Linked DNA regions of Schizosaccharomyces pombe. The protein of the gene in region 3 binds, or shares a complex with, the protein of the main gene of each other region. Each region holds a gene or a part of one and is shown on either strand. Other genes may lie near its edges. The genes, in order: spc24, mis12, mis14 and mis13.

Region 1 (6,045 bases), on a different chromosome or scaffold from region 3:
CAGGTGGAAGAATCGCACCATCAATCTCTGCTCCAAGTGCTGACTCCACTGCCTTCAAATTGTTTAAATTTACTTGAATTTTGTTTGAGCGCTCACTGACTTTGTAGATATCACTAGTAGCGACATCCAGATCCACCTGGAATCGCTCCAAAGAGCTCAGAACATCATTCAACACTGACTTGAGAGAATCAAGTTTGTTTAGATCATCACCACTTCCATCATAAACATCCTGGGTAGAAGCTCTCTGCATGCCGGACTTATTATACTGTACCTATAGATGTTATATCTCAACGTGACAGCTGCATCCCAGAACAAATGGAAGGTATAATCCTGCAAATAGTTAGTTTGGTAAGTTAAGGAGGGTTAAGTTTAATTTAGGTGTTGTTTATCACCCTGGTTTCGGCGCTTCCATCAGTGTTAAGCCTGAACAATTTAATGTAATCTAACGATACGTCAAATAATTATGATGAGTTACTTTACGAATTTTAACGTTGCAAAGGTATACTTCAAATAACATGTATTACGTTTTACTTCACTGCACTTAGTTTGGTTGCTTTAGGGTAGGGTTAAAGCAATCTCACATGGAAAAAGTAGTCACATTTAACAAATGGGAAAGTGATGGGCATGTTCATACAGAAAGAGCATAAACCAACAATGGCAGAAGAAGAACACGTCGATTTCGAGGGTGGTGAGGCCGGTGCCTCTTTGACCTTCCCTATGCAATGCTCTGCTTTGCGTAAGAACGGACACGTCGTCATCAAGGGCCGTCCTTGCAAGATCGTCGACATGTCCACCTCTAAGACTGGTAAGCACGGACATGCCAAGGTCCACATTGTTGCCCTTGATATCTTCAATGGTCGCAAGTACGAAGATATGTCTCCCTCTACTCATAACATGGACGTTCCTGTTGTCAAGCGTGACGAATACCAACTAGTCAACATTGATGATGGCTACTTGAACCTCATGACTACCGATGGTACTACCAAGGACGATGTTCGTCTTCCCGAAGGCGAACTCGGCAACGAAATTGAAGAGGGCTTTGAAGAGGGTAAGGATTTAATCATTACCGTTGTCTCTGCCATGGGTGAAGAGATTGCTCTCGCTTGCCGTGATGCTCCCAGCGCCTAAATATAAACCCTCTTCCCTTTAAAAATGGTCGTTTAGTAAACAAGTTTTGCTCCTCCTTTACCATATTCATTGTTTGTTTAACGATTTTTGTAAATAGAATGTTCTTTGGAATCTGTAAACGTAAGACTTCTTATATATCTGATAGTTTTAAGATAAATTAGATTATGGTTATATATTCGTACTACGGGTATGTATCAAACTGCTTGATGGCTGTTATTTTCTCTTTTAAATGTATCAGTAGCACCTTTTCTTCAGCCTATTTTAACTTTCCTCAATTTTTATCCTAGTTTCAACCTTTATGTCTCAAGGTTGGATACCCGAGGTAATATATAATCTAGAGTGGACTTGCAGTTTTTATATAATGGCTTTTCACAATAGTTAATCAATGTATGCACTATCTACCAAGCCGTTACAACTCATATGTATTAACGTGGCGCCCGTTAGATCTCAAAAACTGCCTATCGCTACTGACTGACTAACAGTCTACTGTGATACATTTGTGAAGGATTTATCCAAAACTATATAAACGGTATTTCGCAGCTGAAAGAAAATCTGTTAGGTTTTTTCAGTCGATTCATACTTTCCAAAATATTGGTAAAATGCTGGCATAGCAGTTTATAAATAACAACACCGTTAGAAACTGTGCAGATCTTTTTACAAATGCTTACCTACTTGAATACCCTTTAAGTGTTTTGTTCTCTTATTTTTCTTCGTCTATAGTTCACTGTTTGTACTTTTAAATAAGTCTGCATCTATTTGCATATCCAGTTCCTTTACAATGGAAGGCAATTGGTTTGAAGGTCCGCCTTGTTCTGTAAGAAACTGCAAAAGTACTTGGTATTTTAAAAATGCAGGTCAAACATTTTGTCGTCGTGGTCATGCTCAACATGTAAGTTGTTTTTAATAGGTTTGCGCTTTAATGAATGTTCATTAATAAAATTGTTAAATTTTAGGGAATTGAAATCGCTCAAGATGATGAACCTGGTGCAGGGACTTTTTATCAAACTCGTAAAAGAAAGGTTGTTCGCAACCATCTAGACACTGGAGATGAAGATGAGATTGTTTATGGTACCGCTGGTAGAAGCTTATATCTTCAGGCTTTTCAAATTATTCTTCAACTTCAATGTCAAGCGTTAACTACGAAACTCGGATTTGACCAAAGAATAGAAGGCATGATACGTGACCTTTGGGCGCTTTACCTTTCCCTGTCTTATGAATCATTTACTTCTAGTTTTCTTTCCCTCAACCAAAATTCAACGCAATCAGAATCATCAGATTCGGATTTTGATCTCATAGATCCTGAGAGTCAACCGGGAGCTGATCCGAGCTCAAGAAAAACGAAGGAAACTTCTCAGTCGCATTCTATATCTTATCCTCGGCTTTTATACTCTTCTGCCTTTATTTATGTCGCCTGTCTTTTACTAAGACTGCCTCTGACCATTCATAAACTCGAAGTTTTAATAAGGAAAAATATTATTCCATATTATAGAGCGTATAAACAGATACCTCTAAAAATATTTAAAAGGCTTCAAAAAAACTATGTAAGGATGCTAATTCCTTTTCATTATCCAACGTATCAACGCATACAATCCGCTGTCTTGACATTGGTTGACGTTTTAGTATCTAAATACGAACTAAAAGTTCCTCCACCTAATGAGCCATTGATACTTTTTGAGCTTATTAACAGTTTCTTTTTTCCCTTAGAAATCTTCATACCTGCTTCTCGTTTACTAAATCTCGTTCACTCGCAGATTTCACTTCAAGGTACCTCTAGCGATAATTATCAAAGCAAAATACGCAGTGCTCAATCGATACATGAAAAGTTATCTGATGCGGAGGTTATGTTACTCGCTACCATCTTAGTAGCAGCAAATGTATGTTATGGGTTTGATGATGCCCAAACTCGAAATTCCAAATACAAAGACTCGATGTTCACTGTTAAAACCAACTGGAACATGTGGTTATCCCAAGTGCAAAAAATTAATGAGAAAGAAAAAGACAAGTTCTACGAGATAGACGAGCAATCCATTTTGACGCTCAATAACTCTGAAATGGATAAATATTTTCAATGGTATGAAAAAGAGTTTGTCGAAGAAAACAACCCAAATAATATTCCAGAAGGAATTCTTAACGTATTTCCGATTCTTTCGAAAGACAGCCATTTACAAGAAAATCAACCTACAGATATACTCACCGACGAATCCGTCATTGCTGAAGATGTAAAGTTAGAACAAGTGTTCAAACCTGTAGGCATTAAAGAGTCTGATAAAATGGACTTTTCACGACGAAAGGATGCTTATATATCAATGCTTCCTTTTTCACCTAATACAGAAAATACAGCTCATCGGGTTACTATCATGGTAGCCAAATTGTATAATATCAAATTGGATTCTCTTATAGCGGCCATTCGTTATGTTGAGTCATGTTTAAAAACCGGTATACACAATCAAGATTAAATAAATAAATAAAATAATAGTGCCATCTATTTTTTGTCCTTACTATCATCAAGCAAATCCCAAAAATAATTAGAATAAAAATATGGGCTATACTTGTTGCTGATTTGTACCGTTTGCAAATCGTTTTCGGTATCTAGGAAAGTGTGAGTAGATTCGAAAAACAGTTTTAAAGTTCAATTTTAAAGCTTGAATTTTTCATATCATCAAGCTTTTTAAAGATAAAAAATTGAAAGGTAAATTCAAATTATGAGCAAATGACATACGTATTATAACCCTTTTATTCCCAGTGTTCTCAGCAGTTTCTAAATCGAAGCCTAAAGAATGATAAAAGTTCAGCTTTAACATATTCGCATTTTCCTCTGACTGACATATGTCTTCAGAAGTATTTTCGCGTTCCTCAAGTTGTAGTAGCTGTTCCTTCATTTTCTGCAATTGAGATTCTAAACTCATAATTTCGTTCTCAGTGATATTCAACAACTTGGCTATCCTAAATTTCTCCTTTTCCCTGCTTAAAATCTCCTCAGCGTGTTGTGATGACTCTGCTGTTTGTTTTAATGACTCCATAGCCTGGGTAGATATTTCTAATTTTCTTGAAAGCACTATTCACAGTTAATGCATGGTCGTTTATTTCTAGATTAAAACTAACCTTTAAATTTGGTTTGAGATCCTTCCAATTCTTTTTCTCTGAAGCTCTGTATCTGTGCGCGAATGTCTTGAATGTTTGAGATGGTTTTCACATCTGGTGCAATTTGAAAACCAGCAAGCGTGGACCGCATAAGTTCAATTGGACTGTCTGACATATTTACTTCTCTTTTATTTATGTTCTTTTGTGTTTAAAAAGTAATTTCTTTGAAAACTTTCAACGTGGTCGTAACGTACGAAAAGGTACGAATGATGCTACCGTAAATAAAGTATGGTTAGAAAATCAACCTTACTCTACTAATATATATATATATATATATATATGCATACGTAAATTAGTTAAACAAATCTACATGATGCAGGTTTTTTCTTTTTTCTATAGGAGCTAAAGTTATGTACATAAAACAGAAAGAAAAGAGATAACCTCGATTCAAGTTTTCTTCACCTTTTCAGCAAAACAGTCGATGAAACCTTTTTGATTTTTATACGATATAAAGTTTAGATGGAAGAAAACGCGAAATCAGATTAATTCAAAACACGCTAATATAATTAATTATAGATTAGAAGCAGACACAGCGTGGTATCTTTTAGATAATTTAAAAATGAATCCTAAATACTGTACAAATAAACATTAAATCGTTGCTTGTAATATAAATGTTCCAAATCGACAAGCCTATTGAAAGAAAATACTCAGCTTGCATCATCTCATCATGGTGACATTTAAAAGGCTAAGTTAATTTAAAGAGATAATTATGGTTTAGATATAAGCCATCCTTTTCAATAGCGGCACCTGCTGCTATAAAGTAATCAAGTACTTCGTTAAACTCACGGGGTTCTAATCCGGGAAATAGTAAGTTAGTCAGTTGGGATCTCAAGATTCCGGGTTTTCGAAGCAGTTGGTATACAATGGACTGCTCGATATTCATCCATATCATCTCAATAAGCTCGCATTTACCATTTAACCATAGCCGTGGCTCATGCGAAGGTGGAGTTGCCAACTTTTCAGTAACACCATAATTTTTTTTAGATTCACTTTCTTTGCCGCTGAGAACAAGAGTTACATTGATATTGTCATGTTCTAGCAAACGAGTACGATAGCCTTCAGATAGACCATACTCATTAAACTTGCTTCCGACTATAGATATTTGCAACTTTCCTTGAGATAATAAATCAAGGATACATGCGAGAGTTCCACTGTTAGATGTTTCTTCAAATAAATGATTCTTATGATTTTGAAAACCCTCCAATAAAAATTTATTAAATCGCTTGGCTTGTGACAATAAAAATGGAGGTAAAGGAGACTTGAGGGAACTTGCAAATTTCTCCGTAAACTGGAAGTTTCGACCAGGCTGCAATCTACTGTTTTCTGAATTAACTCTAGTAATTATTCTCTTATCCAATAATTCTTGATGAGCAGCGATGAGAATATCTTCTGGATACTGCATAAGACGTTCTTGCGAAAACCGAGCATCATATGTAGCGTCTGGGATGGCAACGATGCTCTTGATAGTAGACTTCGCATCAAACAACTGACCTTTCTCACAATTCTCATCCCCTTCATTATTTTGTTTGTCATTTAAGGAAAGCGGCATGGTAAAAGGCATATCACAATACGCATTCATTTTCGAGGCAACTGACAGGGAAGGATCAAATATCATTTCCCGGAAATTAGTTTCTTGTTTAACAACCTCTATATTGTAAGTTTCATAAACGTCAACGAGGTCTCTCGGTAACCTAGTAGTAGCAAGATTTGAAGAACTAATCATATAAGGTCTACAAGACGCCTTAACATATGGGGTAGGATCAAAATCATCAACAG
Region 2 (4,246 bases), on a different chromosome or scaffold from region 3:
CTCCATAATTACACTAAACACTTCTGGCTTCATTTGAGCCCATTCAGTTCCTGCTCCCTTGGAAACAGTAATAAAGTCCTTTCCAAAAAAAATGCTATCAACTCCATCTATATCAAATAGTTTCTGTGCCAATGGAGAATTCACAGTTCCTTGTCCTCTCATGAATTCACAGCTTCCGATAGTTGGAGGCAAGATATCTAGCCCTGGCAGGAACTTCAAAGCGTTTTCGTTCGGTGTCTCCTCCGATCGGATCCATATGCTGCGAATTGCTTGCAATTGGAAACGTGGAGTGAAAACGTTACCAGCTGAAGATACTGGTAAAAAGGTTTTCTTTTGGAATGCTGTCCTTAAAGATTGAAACGGCACAACTCTAGGAAATAACATGCTTGGAATCAAATCGTGCTTTATCCAATAAGAGACAAAATATTAAGACAAGTTCAGAATTTGAAACTTCTTAAGTATACACTTCAAACAGATGGGAAAATTTAAATGTTTATTAACAATTTTTAAATCAGGAAATGCTAATGTAAGCAATTCTTTAAATACATGCAAGAAGGCAATTTGTACATGGGCATACGAAAACCGATGTGATCCTTATACTTTCTTATACAAATTAGCGAAGTTCATTATATTGAAATAAGCCATTGTTCGTGATTCAACAATTTACTTGTCTTTCATCACTAATCTAAATTCTCTCTTACAAGAACAATAGACATTGTTTTCAATTGAACAAATCGGTAGGCTCCTGCCTTCCTCAACAACTTAATTTCTACTAGGTGTTCAAAAACAGATACCTTCCTAGTAAATTTCACACATCATTGCTTCATTAAGAAAGAACTGTTTAAATCGTATGGAAAAGGTAAGCCAACGGTACCATTGTTCATTCACAAAATACTGATGAATTACTGCAGTCTCAACTTGAGTCACGCGTCCATTTGCTTGAACAGCAGAAGGAGCAATTGGAAAGTAGTTTACAAGACGCTTTAGCTAAGCTAAAGTAAGTGTGGTAAAGTGATGCTAGAAATGGTAGAAAATATGAGTTATGCGCCTTTACGCGCGTTCAGGTTCATTTTGGGAAAAGCAATGTATTGCCGTTCCATCAAATCTATTCAAGTCATCATCAAGCTTGTCTCGTTTTATCTAATGTTGACAAATGATTTAGAAATCGAGATGCTAAGCAAACTGTACAAAAACATATCGATCTACTCCATACCTATAATGAAATACGGGATATTGCTTTGGGAATGATTGGCAAAGTGGCAGAGCATGAAAAATGTACAAGTGTCGAATTGTTTGACAGATTTGGAGTTAATGGGTCAGAATAATTATTATCCATTCAGTTATTTAGGAAAAAAGAGAAGTTAAACAAAACAAATAAAAATGTAACGGAAAAAGTGACAGAGACAATCCAAGTTTTCTTTATTAAGCATTACTTTGCTTTCGCTAGAGATCCAACGCCAATTCTTATATATTTATTATGAAAGTTTACGTAAACGATCACAATTGTTAGAACATCTCAAGACTTTAGCTAGTTGATTAGTATTAAGGCTCGTCAGTATGTCCGACGTCTTTTTCAGATGACAATAGCAACTTATGAATGTTATTTGCAGTTTCAGTATTGGCTGTCGATTCTAGTTTTGACAAGTGATGTGACCAAAAATCCTTTTGCTGGTCGATGGGATTAGATAATCGTTCGTAACCTTTTTCTAAGTAGGTAATTCTTTCATCCACCTCTCGTGAGTGTACAGTGGGAGAGGCTTCAACTACTCTTTTAACGGCATGCTGCAGATTACCAAGTTGATCAAGAAGGAAATCGGTAGTTTCTGGTAAAGTAACTTGCCAATTTTCGGGTACTTTGTTGAGAAAAGAAATTCTTTCCAAATGCTTTTCTATTTCTGTTTTTTTTTCTCTTTTCCTGCTGAGACGCATGCGAAGGTCACGACGTAGTTGCATCTTTACTACGAGTTTTTCTGCAGCCTCTTGAATTGCTTGATCCATGGCGGCGTCTTGCTCTGTTGTGATTGAATAGTCTACATCCTTTCCAAACGTACGCATGTAGCCTTTTAGCTCTGGTGGATAACTAAAAATGTTTCGAAGTGTATACACCTCGAAACCATCATAGTAACGATCCACCACACTTTCAAAGAGAACCTCGAACTTGTGTAGTCCTTCTTCTATTTCCTGTGGCGCTTTTTTAGCAAACCGCGTTTGTGAAAAGGCTTTATCCACACCATTTACACCTTTATATAACAGTTGGTTCGTAATGTTGATCACATCATCAATGAAGGAGAGAGGAGTGAATTCTAGTAACTCCACTAACATTTTTTAATTAATTCCTTTACATTGAAAACACTGATTAGCTTCCAAAGAGGAAACTAGTGAGTTATGATTTTTAAACGGCAAGTTGTTCTGCAATGTACCAACCCCATGTTGCATTTTGTCTGGTGTACTCAGATATGATAATAACGAGGTAAAAGGGATTTCCGTATATCCCATCAAAAAGTATGAATAATACATAGATTTGTTGCTGTTTTTATTGCTGTGAGGAACATATAACTCAGGCGATTAACAGTTTAGTCGGTTTATTTTGTTAGTTGCTTAGAAGTGTGGCTTTTGATTTGTGCTTGGTAAATCATTACTAGAGTTTCTATATCCTCAACTAAGCTCTAGTGGAGGAATACACTAATATTAACTATATTCGAATTATACATTAATAGTACGGACTCATCTTAAACCTCAATTTCTATGCTTTCTTTTATTATTCTTCAGTAGCCTTTTTTAGCTATCACGGTGGGATCGTTCTGCTATGCAATTTGATTTAATGAGGGTTAGCACCTTTTCCCAATATCGAATTAGTGAGTTCTGCCACTGTAGGAATATCAGCATAACTAGAAATGCTAACAGCTTAACTTTCATTCATCCATTACTTACATACATCAACAATGTCCAAAATCAAACTGATTTCATCTGACAATGAAGAGTTCGTGGTCGGTATGTAGAACGGAGAATGTTTTGAATTGAGTGAATTGACAAACTGTTTATAGATCAACTGATCGCTGAGAGAAGTATGCTTATAAAAAATATGCTTGAAGGTATGATCTATACAAGCGCTTGTTGAGTGCAATAATTATTATGGACCCTGTTACTAAAATCTCAATTTCAATAGACGTTGGTGAGATTAATGTCCCCATTCCTCTTCCAAACGTATCATCGAACGTTTTGCGAAAGGTACTCGAATGGTGTGAGCATCACAAAAACGATTTGTATTCAGGAACTGAGGAGGAAAGTGACATTAGATTAAAAAAGTCTACCGATATTGATGAATGGGATCGTAAGTTTATGGCCGTAGACCAGGAAATGTTGTTCGAGATAGTTTTGGCAAGCAATTATTTGGATATTAAACCTTTGCTTGATACTGGTTGTAAAACCGTTGCCAACATGATTCGTGGCAAGAGTCCTGAGGACATTCGGAAAACATTTAACATCCCTAATGATTTTACGCCTGAGGAGGAAGAGCAAATCCGTAAAGAAAATGTACGTTCCTTGGTACTTTATTAACTTAATTCTAACCGCTTGCAGGAATGGGCCGAAGACAGATAGTTTGTGGCTTTTTGTGTATAAAGTTTTTTGTCCTTGGATCATTAAGTGTAGTTTTCAGTGTAAAATGGGAATCTTCCCATCCACCTCATCATGCGCCTTTTTTTTTTTATAAAAAAAAAATTGATATAAAGTATACTGATGATTTTTTACTACTGAAGTTTTCACGATGCGTGCGATCACTTGATACTTGACGTACCAACACTGGTCGTATTAAGTCGCAGCAAATCAATTTCATTATCGCATATATACAAATGTACATTGATGAACATATTTTATCCCAACAAAGCACATTTCGTTATCTTTTACTGTTGTTTTAAGTACGTATGTGAATTACGATTTAGAAAGTTGAACTTACTATCCCGAATTGCTTAAAGCTTGCTTTTGTCTTGTTACAAAATAGGGATGTTCATCAATAAGATTATCTTTACTCTTCCATTCAATATGGTGAACGATTGGAGCTAATAGTCCTATGTAGTTTGCATTAGCGGTTTACTATAACAAAAAAAAAAAAAAAGAAGTGTTGTAATATAATAGCGCTAAACAATGAATTGTTAAAAAAATCCGATTCTTTTCTTAAAAATAGTGACAGCAGCTATGTAAAATGCGAATCGTAATAATATCAAGCTTCCAAATTAACAATTAATGA
Region 3 (3,536 bases):
TGCGCGAGAGTCCAAGGCCTCTAGTGTTTCTCGGATATGTTGTTTCAAACGTTGGCCAAGAACCCCAAACTATTCTAACGCGAGACACGGGAATGTTAGACATTGAACCTGCTGACTATGATCGTTGGTGTCAGTATATATTTTATCGAGGTGTCAAGCGAATTGGTTATGCTAGACTTCATCGCTCTACTATAACAGACACCGAGCTTCAAACCGGAAAGTTTTTGGTTACCAAAGATTTAGGTAGGAACGTCAGAATCGACAAGGAACACGTTCCTGAATCACACAGGTATCCATCATTATTTGAAGGAACGGGTGTTAATGGACATTACTATGACAATAATTTAGTTGTTCACGAGCCGTGGTACTATGATTAAAATCACAAATTTGATTCATTTAAATTTCCATGGTTTTGAAAAGAAAAAGACTGATATAATTAGAATCAATATAAGCATTATACGAATTTGATAAACTATTTAATATGTTGTCTGCAGTTATGCACTGATTAATAAGATTTGTTAAGATTAGTACATTATGAATCAACCGGTTTGTTTCTGGTGAGCAGTTGGAATGAAGTATAAGTTGAGATGAAATAGCACTAAATTAATATTAGTTTACCCGTATATTAAAATTATTAATGATTAAGGAGTTTTTTCCAATCGGGCAACTACTCTAGGGAGATTTTTCTTTAAATATGCTACTTTAGCAATAGTCTGCTCGTATCGGTCGATGTCCTCTTTTCTAAACACAGTTGTCGAAGTTTGTTCATCCGGGTTTTCTACTTCTTTATCTTGGAGAGAAACATAGTCATCTTTCACGTTTCTTAAAAATGCGGTCTGTTGCTCCATCGCATCAACATATGCCTTTTCATATTGTGCTGGTACAGACTTTCGGTATCGAGCCACTAGGACATGAGCATCTTCTACTTCATTGAATAATTGTTGGACTCGAGTACGAAGAGCCAGATCAAATGGCTCAATTTGGTCGGAATTTTTTGGATCTTGCAAGGCTGAATTTGCATCAAAGCCATTGATTGTAACGTTTTCTTGTATTATTGAGAAAGTGGATTCAATCAGCTATATGTTAAGCATTAGTAATTGAAGAGGTCTCTCATTTTACTTTATATATATATATATTTTTTTTAATCGAAGCTGCTATGGAATTTCGACTTTATGGCTGATTAGAAGCGTGTACTGTATACTCACCTCGTTTAACATTTCTTTGACTCGAATTCGCAATTGGTCTTCACGACCCATTCCAGCTTCCCGTGAAGCTTGTTCTGGTAAATGAATAGCAAGTTTTTCTTGTATGGCTTGACGAAACACCGATTTTACGTAACTGTAATCGTTGATACTTATAAAGTGTTAAAATCAGATTTTCTAATTTCAAATTAAAAGCATAAATAAAAGCTCTAAACTACATGGGATTATGAAACACACCTTTCCAATGCAATTTTTGGTAAAACGCTAGCATCTCCGTGAGACGACATGAATGCTAGAAAGAAATGTTTTTCTTTAAGAATATATGATTAATAGATTAGAATATATTAAGAGAAAGTTAAATTTTTAGCTGAGAGATAGAAATCATTAGTCTGAAAAGAATTTGGATGTGATAGTACTGGCTGAAAACTTAAGCGATAGCTTAATTACGCTATGTAAATAGATAGAAAAGAACCATTGTATATAGATCAGGTTATCCCAGAAGCTCCAAATTATGAAGATATTCTTCATAAGTACACCCGATTTCCAAGGACTTATAGCGAGTAGCAGTTATTTGTAAAGAACGTATTGATCCATAGTAGCCTGCTTTATGTATCAAGCTTTCTAGGGTTTCCTCTTGATCCCAACGTTGTTCAGCCGCTACAGAAGGTAGATAAGTCGAAGAATAACGAATTCCATTTGCCGTAAATTTAATAGACACGCCATGTATGCCAACTTCCCAATCTAATGGATCATCTATCGGTTCAAAGTCGACTAACAAGTCTATCTGGCACTCTAAAAGAGCCAATTCTCCCAAGGAGATAGGACGAAAACGTTCATCACAAAATGCACTATTTTTAAAATGTTGTATTAGCATTCGGTTACTCTTCTTTTCAATTTCATCGGCAATTTCATACGAAGGTCTATGATTTATCATTGACGCCTACAACGAACTATGAACCATTTTTAGACACACTTACGCTTGTTTACTGAAATATGTTAAATTTGTAACTAAAGGACGTGCCCGGAAAGTTCCAATGCAACCTCGTAGTTGTTTATCATGGCCTTTTCCAGATGCAAACTTTACGAACAGAGGGATACTACGGGTCCAACTCTTTGCATTCCACTTGTCTCGGACCTTTCGATGCTCTAAAGTTGCAGCAACTACTTCAAAGCAATAATAACAATACTCTTTCTTGTCCATTTATATTAGTGGTAGTAGCAATTGCCTACGGACGCTTTCGGTACAATTTGTAAGCCATGGTATTTTATTCATACATCATTCCAACTTTCTTTGTTTAAGGATGGCCAACAAATCATACGTTGTAAGTGATTACGATAACGTCCAAGTTCATTATACTGTTTCATGTTTCATGTTAAAAAAAGTTAGTTAGTAGGGCCCTGTTTATGTCTTCTGTCATAAAGTGAAAGAAAATGGAGAACTTGTTTAACTGTACACTAAAGCATTCTTTACAAAATAAATACTCTTCTAAGTTTTCACTACCTAGTTAAACAATTCATGCAACAGCAGCAAAACTTATTGAATTCAAAAGTAGTCATATATAAATTAACATTAAATCAAAAACAAGATTTGTAACCATAACTTCTTTTTCAGACTAAATAACAGTAACATGTTCCCATTCACAAAACTAGATGTATACGCGTATATAATATATATATATATGTATAGAGAGGGAGACAGATAAAGAGAGAAAAGTCCAAGCGTTTAAGCACCGAAGCCTTGTTTCTTGCATCGGAAAATCATTTCAAAAGGGGTGTCGCAAAAATTTTTATGTAGTTACCACAATATCCTAGTTATTGTACAAATCATTATCTACATTAACAGCATAAGTTCCGTACAAGCAGAATAAAAAAGTAAGCTTGCTGAAGCCTTGTATGTCTCAAGCCGACTTGCTTAAGAAAAAAAGAGCCACGGCAGAAATCTTATTCATCAGAGCGAACTTGCTCGGGAGGAGGGGTAGGGGGATGGGAGTACCTTTCCACATCAGAAAACAAAGTCAACGTATTGTCTTCAACTTTTTCAGCAGCAATTCGACATGCAGGCCTATCACTGACAACCCGCATCCAACGCTTAATATTTTTGTAAGGTTTCTGAGATAGGTAATCTCTTTGAGCAGCAAATATAGGAAAGCACATCTGCGGGTCCGCAGCGGTGAACTGTTCGCCTGCAAAGTATTCGTTCGATGCGAGGTGATTATCAATGTAGTCAAGGTTCAAAAATGTTTCTTTACTTAGATACTTGGATTTTATCCCATTCACAAACTGGCGAACAATATAACGAAAGAAAATGGGAGTCATGTTCACACTAAGATCCAA
Region 4 (3,700 bases), on a different chromosome or scaffold from region 3:
GTTGTGTACATGCAAGGAATTTAAAGCCTCTATTATTTCAGTTGGCTATCCCACTTTTTTAAAAGATATGCCAACAATCTTGGCTTCGTAAAGCGGTCAGAATTTGCTGCTTTGCTTTTTTCGCCTCAGGGATCATTCCATAAGTGAACTTAGATATGTTCCTTAAGCATGCTTCCACCTATCCATTGCTAAAATTTTTTAAAATTCTTTAGCTCATGTCCCCACAGTTTCAGTTTGGGTTTGGGATTTCTTGAATTTGTCTCCAATATTGGTGCACCGTTGCGTTTGAGAAGCTGCCTTAATATTTAAATAATGTCCAAGCTTCATAGAAATCGTGGTTTTTTTTTAATTTCATGTATGCGGTTTTGTGTTTGAAAGTTTTACGTTACTATTATGACGGAATTTACCACGTGTATTCTGGTTATCATAAAGCTATTGTTAATTACACGTTACATGTTTCGAAACCTGCGACGATGTCTGCTCTCGCTTTTTAAAATTTAATTATAGAATATAGACTTTAGAGATAAAGCTATTTATTTCTCAAATATTTCAAATTAATTAACTATGAAACCTTTGATAAATTCTAAATATTGGGTGAATAGTAGCAGTTATGTATCGTACATTGAGTGTAGATAGTAATGTGAGTGCGCGCTACTACTATAGGAGTTCCTTTGAAATAACGTATAACATGAATTTTCAAACACAGTCCAGCTGGTTTGCACACCTTCATTATTAGTTAATTAGCAGCAATGGCACGCAAAAAGACATAAAATTAACGTAAAAATAAGTAAAAATTTGGGCATAACAGTATCAGATTAATCCAATTTTAAACTGATTCGTTTGAGGAAGATTTATAGGAAGCTTCTGATAAAAGCCTTAATAAATTCATAGTATCCACATATTTGGAGAAGGACAACAAACTTTTACGATGGGCTATGAAATCCTGGGCAGCAAGGCGACCATATGATGATCGGACTTCAGGTCCAGCGTTAGTCAAAGAATGCAAGGTATGAATATTTTCAGCAAGCATGTCCAGGAGAGTGTGGAATTTTGGTTTCAGCTTACTTATATTAGGAAGTTCTGGTGCATCATCTGGGGGTAATGGAGAGTCCTGTTTATCAAGGTCTTGTTTAGAATCTATGGATTCTACAGCTTTTTTAAAAGATAAAATTGATTTATCTGAACTGACGGAATTAGCAGCAACAGCCCGCCATGCAGCTTCTTCATTATGGAGTTGGGTAAGCTTTGCCGACAGTTCGTCCACTAGCTGAGCATTTTTGAGATTTTGAGGATGAGGTTTATTAGGAATTACAGCATCAGGTGGTCTTTGATACCAACTAACACTAACTTTATTAGCCAATAATTCGTTAAGAACTTCTTGAACTATTGATCTAGCAATAGCTGCCTCACTGGCTTCCTCCGTTTCACCGTATTTTTTTCTTTGCTCTTCTAAGGCCTTTGAAGAAGCCCAAAGGAGAAGTTGTTTGATACGTAAAGGTTCGGATAAGTCTTTGGATATATGGCGATAGTATTCATGCGATGGAACATCTGCATGTGGTAAAGCTTCAAATCCAGTACCAATGCTACTAGCACGCTTACCCCGTTGGTCAAGACTACTCCTTCTTCCTTTACCCTTGCGAAGTTCTTTGTTTCGCTTCACAATTGGTGTATCAGACACGGGTAGCTCAACTAACCCATCGGTTTGGGAGGTATCTGGATCATCCTCCACAGATGATTTCCTTCTTTTAGAACCAGCTTTTTCTTTACCCTTCCTAACGAATACAAATCCTTCCTGCTCTTCAGGCTTTCGTTTCATAATGGATGCTGGTTAGGGTCAAGTCGAGTCAGGATTGCAAAGACTACCTTACTCATTGTTTACACTAGGTAACCTAACAAAGTATAGCGAGCGCGTTATAAGTCGGCCTTACAATTGAGCATTGAAAATTCATCAAAGCAAAGTATATTCATGTAGAGAATAAATAAAAAAATAAATAATGATTAAATTCTTTTTTACTGTTAAGTATTCCTTTCTTTTTGGAGATACACTTGTTACAACTTGGTATAAAATATTTGTTTAATTGCTAGATTATCTTCGAACTTGCAAAAACAAAAATATATATCCTTTTTTCTGCTGTAAAATAATAAGAATAATAATTTTAACATAATCCATTGAATGGTTGGTTAATTCCCCTTATAAATTCATAAGACCTCTTCTTATACTATATCAAGTTTACTGTTTATGTAATATATATATATATATATATATATAATTGAGGAATGCGACATGAAATGCTAAGCTGAAAAGTTATGCAAATTACAAAATGTGGATATTATTACCATTAAAACTGTTTACAGTTTTTGACAAATAGTCAAGATGTCCATGAGCTGCCAGGATTGAGCTTGTACTTTATCATAATTGTTGAAAAATATAGCGACGATAAATAAGATGAATAATCAAATATAAGTATAATGAAAAATATTCGAGTATTCTATATGTACAAAATCTAAATTGTAGTAATTTTCAGACTTAGCTGGTTATTGTTGATTTTAAATCGCTGCATATTATTTACAGAAAGTACCCAATTTTAGATTACATGGCTTTGCAGACAAGCCAGAACTTTAAGGATCCAGTATAGTTTTAAGAATTAAAAGTTTGAATTATCCTACTCTTAAAACACTTCCTATATAAAGTTGTTTCAAAATATTCTGCAGTCAAAAAGGCAACAGTAGTCGGTGTTTAAAGCTCTTTTTAACTTAAGTGAAGTAATAGTTTTCTTATTATAATTATTAATTTATTTGTTTTATTTATTTTAATTAAACATGGAATTTATAACCACAGCATGTCCTGTACAACTTACTTTTCGAGCACTTACTTAGGTTGCCATCATCCTCAAATACGAATTTATTTCGGAATTTTTAAATTCTTTATAATTGAAAAGAATCTTTACTGATTATCTGTTCTTAATCTGTCTCAGTGTATTGCCAAGATCTACGACGATCTGTCTCATCTCTCTTGTATCTTTCCTTTCTACTACATCGAAAGTTAGAGTTAACTGGATTCATTGAAACCAGGGTTTTTTGGAGCCAATTCTAAGTGGTATGTTATGTAATAGTATCCTTTTTGATAATTGTAATTGCTTTTGTTTCTCTGAAATTTTTAATCGATGTTCTATGTTATACTATATAGACCTCATACAGAAGAAGCATATTAAAACGAAATGAAAAGAGATCACACGGATTTTCTTTAAATACTTTGTTATTTTTATACCAAAAGCTAATTGTCTTCAAGTGGAATAGTTTAAACCTTCATTTCTACATCAAGTTCATTTCAAATGGCATTATTAAAAACTTCGTTGGATGCTCCATTCACTAAAATTGCTACCGGCAAAGTCAGAGACCTGTATGAGTGTGTAGAATTTCCCGATGATCTTTTGTTCGTAGCAACAGACAGAATAAGCGCCTATGATTTTATCATGGAGAACGGCATCCCTGAGAAGGGAAAGGTTTTGACAAAAATTTCAGAATTTTGGTTTGATGTTTTAAAACCTCATGTCCAAACTCATTTGATTACTTCTAGGTGGGAAGAATTACCTCCTGTTATCACGAAGCATGAAGAGTTAAAGGATAGATCCATGCTCGTTAAGAAATACAAGATTCTTCCTATCGAAGCTATTGTTCGTGGCTATATCACTGGAAGTGC

The links.
Region 1: mis14 (region 3) and spc24 share a complex: the UniProt entries of both Schizosaccharomyces pombe proteins name them as parts of the NMS super complex.
Region 2: mis14 (region 3) and mis12 share a complex: the UniProt entries of both Schizosaccharomyces pombe proteins name them as parts of the NMS super complex.
Region 4: mis14 (region 3) and mis13 share a complex: the UniProt entries of both Schizosaccharomyces pombe proteins name them as parts of the NMS super complex.

The regions. Positions count from the first base shown.
Region 1 is NC_003423.3:2,753,844-2,759,888, reverse strand, and holds spc24 (protein Spc24), read right to left. Parts: upstream 4,464-6,045; 5' UTR 4,385-4,463; coding exon 4,231-4,384; exon of another isoform or gene 4,184-4,230; coding exon 3,848-4,183; exon of another isoform or gene 3,718-3,847; coding exon 3,611-3,717; 3' UTR 3,585-3,610; coding exon of another isoform or gene 2,082-3,584; 3' UTR 2,018-2,081; coding exon of another isoform or gene 1,907-2,017; 3' UTR 1,129-1,906; coding exon of another isoform or gene 655-1,128; 3' UTR 501-654; downstream 1-500. Other genes in the region: GARP complex subunit Vps52, read right to left, coding at 1-250; tif512 (putative translation elongation factor eIF5A), read left to right, coding at 655-1,128; RNA polymerase I general transcription initiation factor subunit Rrn7, read left to right, coding at 1,907-2,017, 2,082-3,584; transcription factor TFIIIC subunit Sfc3, read right to left, coding at 4,955-6,045. UniProt on the Schizosaccharomyces pombe protein: Acts as a component of the NMS (Ndc80-MIND-Spc7) super complex which has a role in kinetochore function during late meiotic prophase and throughout the mitotic cell cycle.
Region 2 is NC_003423.3:1,137,206-1,141,451, forward strand, and holds mis12 (MIS12/MIND complex Mis12), read right to left. Parts: upstream 2,414-4,246; 5' UTR 2,323-2,413; coding exon 1,543-2,322; 3' UTR 1,326-1,542; coding exon of another isoform or gene 1,163-1,325; 3' UTR 998-1,162; coding exon of another isoform or gene 912-997; 3' UTR 860-911; coding exon of another isoform or gene 851-859; 3' UTR 548-850; downstream 1-547. Other genes in the region: NifU-like protein nfu1, read right to left, coding at 1-384; protein Swi5, read left to right, coding at 851-859, 912-997, 1,163-1,325; SCF ubiquitin ligase complex subunit Skp1, read left to right, coding at 2,943-2,991, 3,045-3,092, 3,167-3,534, 3,580-3,600. UniProt on the Schizosaccharomyces pombe protein: Acts as a component of the NMS (Ndc80-MIND-Spc7) super complex which has a role in kinetochore function during late meiotic prophase and throughout the mitotic cell cycle.
Region 3 is NC_003424.3:3,112,924-3,116,459, forward strand, and holds mis14 (MIS12/MIND complex Mis14/Nsl1), read right to left. Parts: upstream 1,624-3,536; 5' UTR 1,490-1,623; coding exon 1,440-1,489; exon of another isoform or gene 1,354-1,439; coding exon 1,206-1,353; exon of another isoform or gene 1,077-1,205; coding exon 642-1,076; 3' UTR 529-641; downstream 1-528. Other genes in the region: cwh43 (glycosylceramide biosynthesis protein), read left to right, coding at 1-377; SPOM_SPAC688.03C (AMMECR1 family protein), read right to left, coding at 1,693-2,050, 2,180-2,403; glutathione S-transferase Gst3, read right to left, coding at 3,144-3,536. UniProt on the Schizosaccharomyces pombe protein: Acts as a component of the NMS (Ndc80-MIND-Spc7) super complex which has a role in kinetochore function during late meiotic prophase and throughout the mitotic cell cycle.
Region 4 is NC_003423.3:1,153,786-1,157,485, forward strand, and holds mis13 (MIS12/MIND complex Mis13/Dsn1), read right to left. Parts: upstream 1,837-3,700; 5' UTR 1,817-1,836; coding exon 827-1,816; 3' UTR 519-826; downstream 1-518. Other genes in the region: ade7 (phosphoribosylaminoimidazolesuccinocarboxamide synthase), read left to right, coding at 3,333-3,700. UniProt on the Schizosaccharomyces pombe protein: Acts as a component of the NMS (Ndc80-MIND-Spc7) super complex which has a role in kinetochore function during late meiotic prophase and throughout the mitotic cell cycle.